Tribolium castaneum: one gene and its partner. The protein of the gene in region 1 interacts with the protein of each later gene in a biochemical or structural test. Links are inferred from orthologs where the notes say so. Each region holds a gene or a part of one and is shown on either strand. Other genes may lie near its edges. The genes, in order: muc and Pdhb.

Region 1 (7,020 bases):
ATATTATTTATTTTTTTCAAAAAAGATTATTGTTCTCCGACTAATAGTTTTCGAGGAAATTGCTGATAAATGCAAAAATTGGTAAAATTTTAAAAAATTCATAACTAAACCACTATTGGGAATTTGGCAATTTTCTCGATGCCAATCGATTCCCCGGATCATTTTGCATAGGTATGGATCAAAACAGTTCCACTTTTTACAATAGTTTAGCCGTAAATAAAAAAATTAAAAAAATTAAAAAAAAGTTAACACCCCCCCCTTAAAATCGGTCAATTTTTAAAGTGTCTCAAAATCAAATGAAACCTATTCTATCTTATAGATTTTGATGTGCTCTTTACGATGGAACAAACCGTTTTTCTCTAGCTCTTTTAGTTTGGCCGTAATCGGCGTTTGAAAATTGAAAATTTTTTTGCGAGATATCGCCTTGAGTCCGATGCCATTTTCTAGAGTTTTTTATTCCGGTTGTCCTCCATTTTTCCGTTTCTCGATAACTCTAATAGTTTCGTCACAATTGGCGGTTGAAAATTGAAAAAAAGTGAAAATGGAAACCTTTTTTTGCGTTTTTCTCAGAAACTGTAAGACTTAGAGCAACAAACAAAAAACCATCTGATAGCGCTTAATTTTGTCTATTTTTTCGACCAAACCCGGAGCCGCTCCGGGCAACGGTTCCGGCTACAGAAGCGATCAAAGTTTTTCACTAAAAAAATTCATAAAAAAAAAACTAAAAGTCGTAGAGCATTGCGGTTGGTTCCATTGAATTCTACGGCTCATTTTACATATTATATCAATTTTTCACAAGAATAAAAAATTTAAAATTTTTTGCCTAAATTTAGGGTATCCATTTGTCATATTGAAAAATTTTTTTCATTAAAAAAATTCATAAAAAAAAAAACTAAAAGTCGTAGAGCAGTGCGGTTTATTCCATTGAATTCTACGGCTCATTTTACATATTATATCAATTTTTCACAAGAATTAAAAATTTAAAATTTTTTGCCTAAATTTAGGGTAGCCATTTGTCATAGTGAAAAATTTTTTTCAATAAAAAAATTCATAACTCGAAAACTAAAAGTCGTAGAGCAGTGCGGTTTGGTCCATTGGATTCAGCGGCTCATTTTACATATTATATCAGTTTTTCACGCAATTTAAAATTTTCAATTTTTTTGCTCAAATTTCCTGAGTAATACAAGACTCACCTTCAAAGAGGTGAAACAAAATTTTTTTTTAACTAACTCCTGAAAATTTTTATGGACTTCTACATGTCTTAACAACCCACAAAAGCTGTTAAAAGTCCACAAAAAGTCCATATGTTCAATTTTTTGATGTTTGATTTTTTCAATTTTCGTCGCAGTTTTTGTCGGTTTTGGGTACCCGGAACATTTCTCGAGCAATAGCTCCGGAACTATTAGAGATAACCCCATGAAGTGTATTATCGTTGGAAAGCTCTTTAAATTATCTATTTTTTTCAAAAAAGATTATTGTTCTCCGACTAATAGTTTTCGAGGAAATTGCTGATAAATGCAAAAATTGGTAAAATTTTAAAAAATTTATAACTAAAAAACTATTGGGAATTTGGCAATTTTTTTGATGCCAATCGATTCCCCGGATCATTTTGCAGGGGTATGGATTAAAACAGTTCCATTTTTTGGAATAGTTTAGCCGTAAATGAGAAATTAAAAAAAATAAAAAAAAAGTTAACACCCCCCCTTAAAATCGGTCAATTTTTAAAGTGTCTCAAAATCAAATGAAACCTATTCTATCTTATAGATTTTGATGTGCTCTTTACGATGGAACAAACCGTTTTTCTCTAGCTCTTTTAGTTTGGCCGTAATCGGCGTTTGAAAATTGAAATTTTTTTTACGAGATATCGCCTTGAGTTCGATGTCATTTTCTAGAGTTTTTTATTCCAGTTGTCTTCCATTTTTCCGTTTCTCGATAACTCTAATAGTTTCGCCATAATTGGCGGTTGAAAATTGAAAAAAAGTGAAAATGGAAACCTTTTTTTGCGTTTTTCTCAGAAACTGTAAGACTTAAAGCAACAAACAAAAAACCATCTGATAGCGCTTAATTTTGTCTTTTTTTTCGACCAAACCCGGAGCCGCTCCGGGCAACGGTTTCGGCTACAGAAACGATCAAAGTTTTTCACTAAAAAAATTCATTAAAAAAAAACTAAAAGTCGTAGAGCATTGCGGTTTGTTCCATTGAATTCTACGGCTCATTTTACATATTATATCAATTTTTCACAAGAATAAAAAATTTAAAATTTTTTGCCTAAATTTAGGGTATCCATTTGTCATAGTGAAAAATTTTTTTCATTAAAAAAATTCATAAAAAAAAAACTAAAAGTCGTAGAGCAGTGCGGTTTGTTCCATTGAATTCTACGGCTCATTTTACATATTATATCAATTTTTTACAAGAATTAAAAATTTAAAATTTTTTGCCTAAATTTAGGCTAGCCATTTGTCATAGTGAAAAATTTTTTTCAATAAAAAAATTCATAACTCGAAAACTAAAAGTCGTAGAGCAGTGCGGTTTGTCCCATTGGATTCAGCGGCTTTTTTTCTTTATTAAACTAATTTTTCACGCAATTTAAAATTTTCAATTTTTTTGCTCAAATTTCCTGAGTAATACAAGACTCACCTTCAAAGAGGTGAAAAAAATTTTTTTTTTTTAACTAACTCCAGAAAATTTTTATGGACTTCTACATGTCTTAACAACCCACAAAAGCTGTTAAAAGTCCACAAAAAGTCCATATGTTCAATTTTTTGATGTTTGAGTTTTTCAATTTTCGTCGCAGTTTTTGTCGGTTTTGGGTACCCGGAACATTTCTCGAGCAATAGCTCCGGAACTATTAGAGATAACCCCATGAAGTGTATTATCGTTGGAAAGCTCTTTAAATTATCTATTTTTTTCAAAAAAGATTATTGTTCTTCGACTAATAGTTTTCGAGGAAATTGCTGATAAATGCAAAAATTGGTAAAATTTAAAAAAATTCATAACTAAAAAACTATTGGGAATTTGGTAATTTTTTTGATGCCAATCGATTCCCCGGATCATTTTGCATGGGTATGGATTAAAACAGTTCCACTTTTTGGAATGCAGAAATTAAATGCTGTTAAGTTTTAATTTGTAATAGAAACACATTAGAATGGTCAGGAGATGTTTTACAAATGTGATATGCAGGTCAGCGTAACAGCTTATTGATGTTTTTCTAATGATTTATTTTGATAATTTTCCTGGTGTGAACTTGGCTGTAGAAAGCTAGCTCCATGCGCGGAGCGATTGTCTGGTCGACTGTAATTTTCATTGTGTCAGCACCATTTCTGTTGCTATCTTCACCAACATTGACGCTGTCAATTGGATATAAAGTCAACTGTGGTATTGTTGGTTGCCTGGCTTGTAATAATTCTTTGACTGGAATTCATTCAAATCTTGGGAATTTTATCAGCCGTGACGATTGTGTGATAAATGACGATCCGTTATATCATTACTTGTGTCATAACGTGATTTTTTGTTTGATTTACCGGTTGATAAGACTTGACGTTGTCGATTCACGGCGGCGCCGTCAAAAACGTGATCAGCACGTCACAGTCACAGATTTTCGACGTGAAAGTCTTTTAAATGACCTAGACGAGACAAAACCAGAGTAAGTCGCCCTCTACTCTCAGGAGAACACGAAAATCAATTGATATTATCACGTTTTTAATTTATTATAACAGAAGATGTTGCGCACGTTTGTTGTACGAAGTGAGTTAGCGAAAGGCGCTCTCAGAAAAGTTGTCCGGTCGAATATTGTCAGAACTCTGACTGTAGAATGCACAAAAAGGCGGAATAACCACAGGTAAGGAGATACCTTGATTGCGACAAAATTTTTACATAATCAGATTAATCTATTTTTATTAAACGAGTTTACATAATCATAACCTCACTTCGTCGGCCCCATCACATGTAACGTTGTGCAAATCGCAGATCGCTTCTCCTGAGAGAAAACAGGGCGCTGCAATGGCACGGCCCTTCGGTGAACCCCCTCCGGCGTTACGCAACCGAATACCCCCCTCACACCAAAGTCCTCCTCCCGGCCCTGTCCCCGACCATGGAGCTGGGGACCATCGTCAGCTGGGACAAGAAGGAGGGCGACCGCTTGAACGAAGGCGACCTCTTGGCCGAAATCGAGACTGACAAAGCCACCATGGGCTTCGAGACCCCCGAGGAGGGCTACCTTGCGAAAATCCTCGTCCCGGCGGGCACCAAAGACGTCCCCATCGGCAAACTAGTCTGTATTATTGTGGAAAATGAGGCCGACGTGGCCGCGTTCAAAGACTTCAAGGTCAGTCGATTTTCCAAATATTTGACCACTTTGTTTACCAATGATAACAGGACGATGGCGCCGCCGCCGCGCCCCCCAAGCCAGCGGCGACCCCGGCGCCGGAGGCCCCCGCCGCCGCGCCGACGCCGCCCCCGGTGCCCGCCTCCCCCGTGCCACCGCCCGCGGCAAGCGACCGTGTCTACGTCAGTCCAATGGCCAAGCGATTAGCCGAGCAACGCAACATCCGGTTGCAGGGCAAGGGGACGGGGCTGTTTGGGTCCGTCACCTCGGCCGACCTCGAGGGGATGGCGGCCGGGGCGCCGGCGGCGGCGCCGCCGCCCCCAGGTTCAGATAATGTTCCCAGTGGGGCCCCCTATGTTGATATCCCCGTGTCGGGGATGCGCAGCACCATCGCCAAGCGGTTGGTGCAGTCCAAGCAAAACGTTCCGCACTATTATCTCACCATTGAGTGCAATGTTGATAAGTTGTTGAAGTTGAGGAGTCGGTTTAATAAGAAGTTTGAAAAGGAGGGGGTGAAGTTGAGTGTGAATGATTTTATTATTAAGGCGGTGGCGCTGGCTTGTAAGAAGGTGCCGGAGGCGAACTCGGCCTGGATGGACTCTGTTATAAGACAGTGAGTTTTTCGTTTTGTTGGTGGAAAAATTGGGTAAGTGTTTGTAGATACTCTTCAGTGGACGTGAGTGTGGCTGTGTCCACTGACCGTGGCCTGATCACCCCCATAGTCTTTGGAGCAGACGGGAAGGGTGTCCTTGATATCAATAAAATAGTTAAGTCGTTGGCGGCGAAAGCGCGCGACGGGAAGCTCCAGCCGCAGGAGTACCAAGGGGGCACTATAAGTGTCTCAAATTTGGGAATGTTTGGAGTTGATCAATTCTGTGCCATTATAAACCCGCCACAAAGCTGTATTTTAGCAGTTGGTACCACTGCCAAGCGATTAGTGCCCGACGAGTCGGAGAAAGGGTGAGAAGCTGGGGATTGAGACGTTTCAAGTGTTTATATTTGTTTTCAGATTTAAGGAATCCCAGTTCATATCGGTGACGTTGAGCAGCGATCACAGAGTCGTTGACGGGGCTGTCGGGGCGCAGTGGTTGAAGTGGTTGCGCCAGTTCTTAGAAGACCCAGAGTCGATGATTCTTTAAATTATTGAAATATTTGTTAAATTTGTCATTTTCATCATACATTTTCGTGCCGTTTTTCCGAGGTGGACGAGGTGTTGCCTGCTGGTGTAGAGAAGAAATCTTCCATCTGTATATTTTTGCATTTACGATAAGTTTTATAGCGGATCTTGCACCACAGGTCTAGTTCGAGGGGCTGGTAATCATCCACATTGTGTTATCACGAACACTTTCATTGCTGATGTTTATATAAAAAGTTGTAATTTTTGTTGAGCAAGTGTATTTATGTATTTAAGTATAAATAAACTAATTGTACATAGGATTGTTTTATTAATATTCCTGAAATAAATCCCAACAAAAAATACACAAACAATAAGCCATGCTGGTTGGTGTCGAACTCCAAGAAAAGACTTTTTTAATTAAAAAAGCCGCTAAAAATTGCTAATTTTGAAAAAGGACTTCGGACCAGGATCACATGAACGCAAAGAGGTAAAAAATGTAAAGACCTCCTTGCGTTCCTATGATCCTAATACACATTCGATTTTAAATTTTTGCAAAATTTTTAAACGTACTTCGGACCAGGATCACAGAAATGGGAAGAGGTCAAAAATATAAAGACCTCCTCGCGTTCCTGTGATCCTAATACACATTTTTATTTTAAATTTTTGCAAAATTTTTAAACGGACTTCGGACCAGGATCACAGGAACGCAAAGAGGTAAAAAATGTAAAGACCTCCTTGCGTTCATATGATCCTAATTCATATTTTTATTTTAAATTTTTGCAAAATTTTAAAATGGACTTCGGACCAGGATCACAGGAATGCAAGGAGGTCAAAAATATAAAGACCTCTTTGCGTTCCTGTGATCCTAATAGACATTTGATTTTTAAATTTTTGCAAAATTTTTAACCAGACTTCGGACCAGGATCACAGGAATGCGAAGAGGTCAAAAATATAAAGACCTCCTTGCGTTCCTGTGATCCTAATCCACAATTTTATTTTAACTTTTTGCAAAATTTTAAAATGGACTTCGGACCAGGATCACAGGAACGCAAAGAGGTCAAAAATGTAAAGACCTCCTTGCGTTCCTGTGATCCTAATACACATTTTTATTTTAAATTTTTGCAAAATTTTTAACCAGACTTTGGACCAGGATCACAGGAACGCAAAGAGGTCATTAATGTAAAGACCTCTTTGCGTTCCTGTGATCCTAATACACATTTTGATTTTTGAATTATTTCCAAAACTTTAATATTACGAGGACCAGGCACTTTGCGTTCATGTGATCCTAATACTCACCTTAATTTTGCCCTTTTACGGCTAAATAGTGCCAAAGGTAGGCACTCCAGATGCCATTCGATCTTCGAGGCAGTAAATAAATAAGACAGCATTCAACTTTAGAATCTTATATTCACAAACTTACACAATAAAAAACTTTACATTATTAAATTATGGATTGCTTTACAATTATTGAAATATACACATAATGTAAATGGGTAACTTTCTGTTAAAATATAAACAGTCACAACATGTACTTGTAAATTAAAAAAATATACAAACAATTCCTTTTTAAAACGAATTA
Region 2 (6,976 bases), on another chromosome or scaffold:
GCAGAAATGAAAGTACATCGGTTAGCCCCAACATGTTTTACGGAGGTTTAGATTTCTATGAAATGTAAGGATATAATTTTAAATAAACGCTCTAGAACCAGGGTGTGTTTGTGTGGGGGAGTTTATGGTTATCGCGCGTCGTCGAAAAACGCGCAAAAAGGGTGCCAATCCATTACAGATCCATCCCGCAAATGGGTTATTGATACTTGAGTATCGCAAGCGTGTCAATGTCGCGCTACATTTGCATAATATTCCGAAATGATGTGTGAAAGTTGATACTTAATTGATTTTGGCGATTTACAACGAAAACAATGTCGGAGGATTTTAGAGCGATGTGACATTGTAGTTGTTTACGTGAACGGTCGTAATTACATAAACAGATTTAAATGCAAATTCATTTTGTCGAATCAAAAATAATGTTTTTGACAATAGGCAGAAGCGAGCGGTTTTCGCCCCTTTTTCCAATCGTACAAGATTTTAGATTTTTTAAAAACTTACCTACTTATTATTATTATTTGTTATTTAACTTGCTTTGTTGTCTGTATGTCTGTTTCAAATTTTTTGAGCCAAATCTGAAAGGGTTCCCGTTGTCCCAATGAATTAAAATTTTGCATACTTACTTCATTTCCAAGCGAAAAAAGCATTATTTTTATTTTTTAGTGCATCTTTTAAATAAAAGTTTTTTCAAAAAAAAAAAATTTTTTAATTTTTTTATTTCGAACATTCGTTTTCAATTATAATAAAAGTTCTTTATTTTAATATTCCTTATTTATTTCCTCTAATTGTCCCAATTTTGCCGTTCAATGAAAACTAAGTGACCAAAGTGACAAGAACACACTCAACGTTTATGAATTGTCGTAAAGCACGTATGATTTGTTGTAATAATTGTAAGCAATTTGATTGGGCCGTTGGTGGTCGGTCATTATAATTACGGGAAAAAACAATCACTTGAGACATTTTGATTTATTCAAAAATTATACTTTTCTATATGATTGCATAAAAGTCGGCCATTATAATAATTGTGAGGAACCAGTCGTTTTTAATTTTTTGGATTCATTCAAAATTTTTATTCAATGCGAAAATTAAAACTAGTCAGTAAAATTAATAACTTCGATTTTTAATAACAATGTAAGAATTAAAAAAATACTTAACTAACGAAGACGCTTTGGATTTTATTAAACCGAAATTACCAAGTAAAAAGTGTGCCAGAATAACTTTTTGTTGGCAATACCGAAGTTAAATTTTAAAGAGTAATTACTGGAGTACACAGCAAGTTTGAAAAAATGTAATAAATAAAAAATAATTTTCAAAAAATTTGCAAAATTTCCATCCACCTAATTTTTTCAACAAATAATTTAACATCGTCGCAGTAAAAATATTTTTTTAGAATAACTCAATAATAATAATAATAATAATAATAATGATAATAATAATCATAATAATAATAATAATAATAATAATAATAATAATAATTTTGAAGTTTCCTAAGATGCAACAAATAAAACTATTGGATTGTTTTGTACGTTGTCTTAGCACAGTTTTGCTAAAATTTTATTATGAATTATAGTATTAATATAGCAAATCCTGCTCTCTTTTCCTTTACTAAAAATTACTCAATTAAAAAATCGCTTCAGATTCAAAAACTTTAAAAATTACCATCTATAAACATTTTTTTTGTAGCTCAGTGACAAACAAAAGACTTAATTTTTGGCTCTGATTAATATACAGGGTGTCTCACGTAACTTTACAAGGCCTGCGCTTAATGGACGTAACCAAATATACAAGTCACAAAACACTAGATACAAATATTTATTTATTTTTAAATAAATAATTGAATACGTTTTTATTGTTATTCTACTCATTATCATTAGTTAAAAAAGTCGGGTTTGTCTTTCTTGCATCCTTCAAAGCATCCTTTGATACATACTTTCTTATCAACAGAAATTATTAGCGACATTTTAAATTAATAAGCAGTAGAACTGACAACACAGCGAATTTTTGACAAGACAACGTCATAAAGACAGTACAGGACAGGACCTGAAGCCAACCTAACAAAAACATATCTACGCCTTCTGAGAATTTAAAACAATCCTGAACGGATAATATTTTTGGTGTCATTTTACGCAAACTTTGTAAAATTGTGTAAAACACCCTGTAAAATCAAATCAGAATTAGTGAAGACCATTGTAAACTTTTAGGACCTAGGAGTAATTATCCAATGTAATTTATTACTTTAATAATTATTATTAATAATAGTTATAAACATGCCAAACTGGATACTAATAGTATTTTAATATTAAAATATTGAGTCAAAAAATAAACTGCTTGAAAAAAGTTAGAAATATTAGCTTCTGGTACAACTCTAAACTAAAATATAAAGCTTCATAGAAAACACATATGATATTATTTTTCAAGCTTCTACAAAAATTATTATTATTATTATTATTATTATTATTATTATTATTATTATGTGTGTTTTTAATTAATTTTTGTTTAAAAAAATGGAAAAATTTGAATTTTATTCAAAAATAAATTGAATATGAATGAATAGATTCTTTAAAAAATATTTTATGTTGGCGCCATACAAAGTACGGTTATTTTTACTGTCCTCCGGTGTATAATTGTTTGCCTGCAACGTTATGTTCTGCTCCCTAGTGCCCACAACCTCAATTACAAAAAATTGAGAAACCTGTCAAACTTAACCTTCAAAAATCCGAATTTTATCAAAAATCTCAGATTTGATCTCTCGCTAGGAGCATGTCTCCAAGATAGCGTCACATGTGCGATTACGTATAACGAATGCTCAAGAGATAATAACCTAACAATCAACACCGACGTTTATTCGGTCCTCTCATTCTCCTTCACGACCTTAATCACCTTGACTGTCAAATCAGGTAAGTCAAATAATCAGAAATTTTCACCCTCAACTAAGAAAATCAACCCTTAGAAAAATGGCACCGATCAAAGCCACTAGTCTTTTGAACTTGGCCGGAAAAGCCCTCCACCGGAGACAATTCTCAGTGTCAAAAATCGCATCTGCCAAACAAATGACAGTCAGAGACGCCCTAAATTCAGCCCTAGACGAGGAAATGACCCGCGATGAGCGGGTTTTCATCATCGGCGAAGAGGTGGCGCAGTACGACGGCGCCTACAAGGTCACAAGGGGGCTGTGGAAGAAATACGGCGATAAGCGAGTCATCGACACGCCAATCACAGAAATGGGGTTCACAGGTTGTTGCTTAAAAGTGATTCGTTTAAAGGACTAATTTTTGGCCCCCCAGGAATCGCCGTGGGGGCTGCCATGGCCGGCCTGCGCCCCGTCTGCGAGTACATGACGTTCAACTTCGCCATGCAAGCCATCGACCAGATCATCAACTCGGCGGGAAAGACCTTCTACATGTCCGCGGGCCGCGTCAACGTCCCCATTGTCTTCCGGGGGCCCAATGGGGCTGCCGCCGGCGTTGGCGCCCAACATTCCCAGTGCTACGGCGCGTGGTACGCACACTGTCCAGGCCTCAAGGTCATCTCCCCCTACAATTCCGAAGACTGCAAGGGGCTCCTCAAGGCCGCCATTCGGGACCCTGACCCCGTGGTTTTCCTCGAAAACGAAATTTTGTACGGGGTGCAGTACCCCATGTCAGATCAGGCCCTTTCCAACGATTTTGTCCTACCGATAGGCAAAGCGAAAATCGAGCGACCAGGTAAAATCTTAGAGCCCCCAGGTTTTTTCCCCCAATTCGATTTAAAATTAAATAATTGATTAAATTTAAAAGTAATGTGTATTAAACTGTCCCTCTCAGAATCTTAAGAAATTAACAGTAATTTCGTTACTGTTTTCGGCAAGTACAGTATGTCGTCACCAGAGGGCGTCTAGTTAATTTTAACTGACATCTGGTGTAATGACATTATACAGACTGAACCAAAAGTAACGCCCATTTGTAATTTCATGCCATAGCATTAACATTTTAAGTTTTCACGATATTTTTTTTTTTTTAGGAAAACACATAACGATTGTGGCGCACTCCCGGGCGGTTGAAACGTCACTTCAAGCAGCGAATGAACTTTCCTCGAAAGGAATTGAAGCAGAAGTGATCAATTTGCGATCGTTGCGCCCTCTGGACATCAATACGATAACTGCGTCCGTTGCTAAAACGAATCACTTGATTACGGTGGAGCAAGGGTGGCCTTCGGCAGGGATCGGGGCCGAGATTTTGGCCAGAATTATGGAAAGCGAGGCCTTTTTCCACTTAGACCAACCAGCGATCAGACTGACAGGCGTTGACACGCCCATGCCATATACCAAAAGTCTAGAAATGGCCGCGCTTCCGGTGCCTAAAGACGTAGTCGAAATGACGAAAAAACTACTGAAGGTTAAGTAAAATCTCGAGTAATGTTCCTTTGTTTGAAATTGAAGCGTCGTCTGTATTGCCAACGTACAGTTATTATAATTTATTTATTTATTTCTCGTCCGGCTGAATTAATCAAAGGGTAAGTTTATAATTTTTACTTGTACAAACTGTTGTAAATAATAGTCTAGTTTTAATTGGATCAAGTGTACATTGCATTTTTTAAGCCAATTTTTTCTTATGTGGCCACTTTTACGGTTGTAAATTTTTGTAGACAATAAATCATTAAGGCTGATTGCTTGTTATTATCCCCTTCCTTTTCCGCAAAAACTCCTCATGGGAACCGGGCGCGCTTCAAATTACGCAAAAGCGCATCGTCTGAACTGGATTAATGGTGTCACGTGACACAAGGAAAGGCGCGCAATTCAAGAAAATACGTTTTAATACAAAAGTAACAAATTTAATTAAATACGTAGGTTAGGTAACAGTCACAATTCACAATTAACAGCACTTCTAAATATCCAAGGGCCTTTTGTTTAAATATTCATTTGCGCTTCTTTTGGACATTTTGTGTTCTTCCATGAATATTATTAAACATAATTCCGGCAGCAACACTTTGAAGAAGTAACTGTCCATTTTATCCTCTTGGTCAAACTCAGATTTCATTAAATCAAGGAGTACTTCCTTCTGTTGTTCACTAAACACGATAACACTGTTGCTACAAAACAAGCTCTTGGCTGAAGAAATGTTGTTGCCACTTTGGTGAAACGCCCGATGGCGATCTGAATATTTGCGTCCTTCCATAATTGCGTCCAAAGTGTCTTTGTGTCTCTCAAACGCTTTCTTCAAGTCCTTGGAAGTCAGGTGTTTACAATCAAGAAGCTCCTCCATGAAGTTATCTTCTTTTAGACTATCAATGCCCAGATTTTTCTGGAGAATATCTTCATCGAAAACATCAAGCTGTTCAACACTGCGTCTATATTGATCAAAGTTCTTCTGATCTGTTACGATTTTCTCAAACGAGGGAACTGACACGCCGTACTTTTCAAACGAAAAACTCCTTTGCAAACTCTTCTTCTTCTTCACGGTAACATCAAGCTGTTCTGGCTGCTTCTTCTGCGCCCGTTTCGACTCACCTTTATTCTCCTTATTCAACCACGAAGTAATTTTGGGGCTTTTGTCGCAGGCTGGCTTTCGTTTACGAGTCGAAGCGGCCTTCTTTGGTTCAGTCGGAGATGCCCTCTTTTGCAGTTGTCTCAGTTTTTCCATGAGATTATTCATGGCTTTGTCACCACACGATTTTTGGGGCTCCATTCTGGAAACCCGCCACTTCAATTTGACGTTGTCAACTTGACGTTTCTAAAGTGAGGTTAGGGTTTGTTTATTTTTGAAAATTCGCCTGATTTTTGTAATAAAATGAGGAATTTGAGTTTAAAGGTAATAGTTACGTTCTCGAATGGGTTAGTTATTAGAATTTTGCAGAGGAAACTACGATCATTGTATATTGTTACTGCGAGCGGATTAGGGGCATATGTGGCTATAAGTCTGTATAAAAACAATGAAAAGTTTTACAGAAACGTTGTAATGCCTTTAGTACATTTGCTGGAGCCTGAGCAAGCCCACCGGCTCGGGGTTATAGTCAGTAAATACCGCCTTGTCCCCTCAACTAATTACAAAGACCCCGAGTCTTTGGTAAGTCATTTTTTAACTGTAAGTCGTCACTAGGCCCTCAATTACAGAAAATTACTCTTTTCAATAAAGTTTTCCCAAACCCAATTGGCATCGCTGCCGGTTTTGACAAACACGCCGAAGCGGTAATGGGTTTGAAAGACATTGGTTTTGGTTTCATTGAAATAGGTTCAGTGACACCCCAGCCTCAGCCAGGCAATAACAAACCGCGAGTTTTCCGCCTGTCTGAAGACCTTGCTGTTATAAACAGATACGGGTTCAACAGCGACGGCCACGAGACCGTTTTACACCGACTTATTAATTTGAGACAAACCAAAAAATGTGATACTATACTAGGGGTCAATTTAGGAAAAAACAAGACTTCAGACGACGCTATCAATGACTACGTCATTGGTATTAAAAAATTAGGGCCAGTTGCTGACTACCTTGTTATCAATGTTAGCAGTCCTAACACGCCCGGCTTAAGGACAATGCAAGACAAAAACGTACTAAAAAATCTATTAAAAAGTGCCAAAGAGGCACGTGATAGCCTCCCTGAGGGGGCCAGACCCCCACTATTACTTAAACTAGCGCCCGACTTGTCCTACAGTGAGCTCAAAGACATTGCAAATGTGGTGAGGCAAAAAGACACGAAAATTGATGGGCTTATAATTTGCAATACGACAGTTGAAAGGCCACAATTTCTGCATAATGACAGGAAAGGGGAGACAGGGGGGCTGAGTGGCAAGCCTTTGAGAGAGGCCTCCACTAAGTTAATCGCAGAAATGTACAAACTGACACGGGGGGAAATACCGATTATAGGTTTGGTGTTTTTATTAATTTAAATTTTTACATTAAATAAATTATAGGTGTTGGCGGTGTTTTTACCGGCCGAGACGCCTACGAAAAAATCAAAGCTGGGGCTAGTGTTGTACAATTGTACACAAGTCTGGTGTATGAGG

Evidence for each region.
Region 2: the proteins of muc (region 1) and Pdhb form a complex in vitro, tested with the Homo sapiens proteins (2 studies listed by BioGRID and IntAct, with this or other methods). The link is inferred for Tribolium castaneum from reciprocal best matches to the Homo sapiens genes DLAT and PDHB.

Annotation. Positions count from the first base shown.
Region 1 is NC_087399.1:3,913,596-3,920,615, forward strand, and holds muc (dihydrolipoyllysine-residue acetyltransferase component of pyruvate dehydrogenase complex, mitochondrial), read left to right. Parts: upstream 1-3,425; 5' UTR 3,426-3,643; intron 3,644-3,716; 5' UTR 3,717-3,719; coding exon 3,720-3,838; intron 3,839-3,966; coding exon 3,967-4,324; intron 4,325-4,374; coding exon 4,375-4,937; intron 4,938-4,984; coding exon 4,985-5,284; intron 5,285-5,333; coding exon 5,334-5,463; 3' UTR 5,464-5,759; downstream 5,760-7,020.
Region 2 is NC_087400.1:4,922,313-4,929,288, forward strand, and holds Pdhb (pyruvate dehydrogenase E1 component subunit beta, mitochondrial), read left to right. Parts: upstream 1-2,651; 5' UTR 2,652-2,894; intron 2,895-2,947; 5' UTR 2,948-2,951; coding exon 2,952-3,231; intron 3,232-3,281; coding exon 3,282-3,701; intron 3,702-3,996; coding exon 3,997-4,379; 3' UTR 4,380-4,641; downstream 4,642-6,976. Other genes in the region: Dhod (dihydroorotate dehydrogenase (quinone), mitochondrial), read left to right, coding at 5,763-5,783, 5,829-6,038, 6,086-6,836, 6,884-6,976. UniProt on the Homo sapiens protein: The pyruvate dehydrogenase complex catalyzes the overall conversion of pyruvate to acetyl-CoA and CO(2), and thereby links the glycolytic pathway to the tricarboxylic cycle.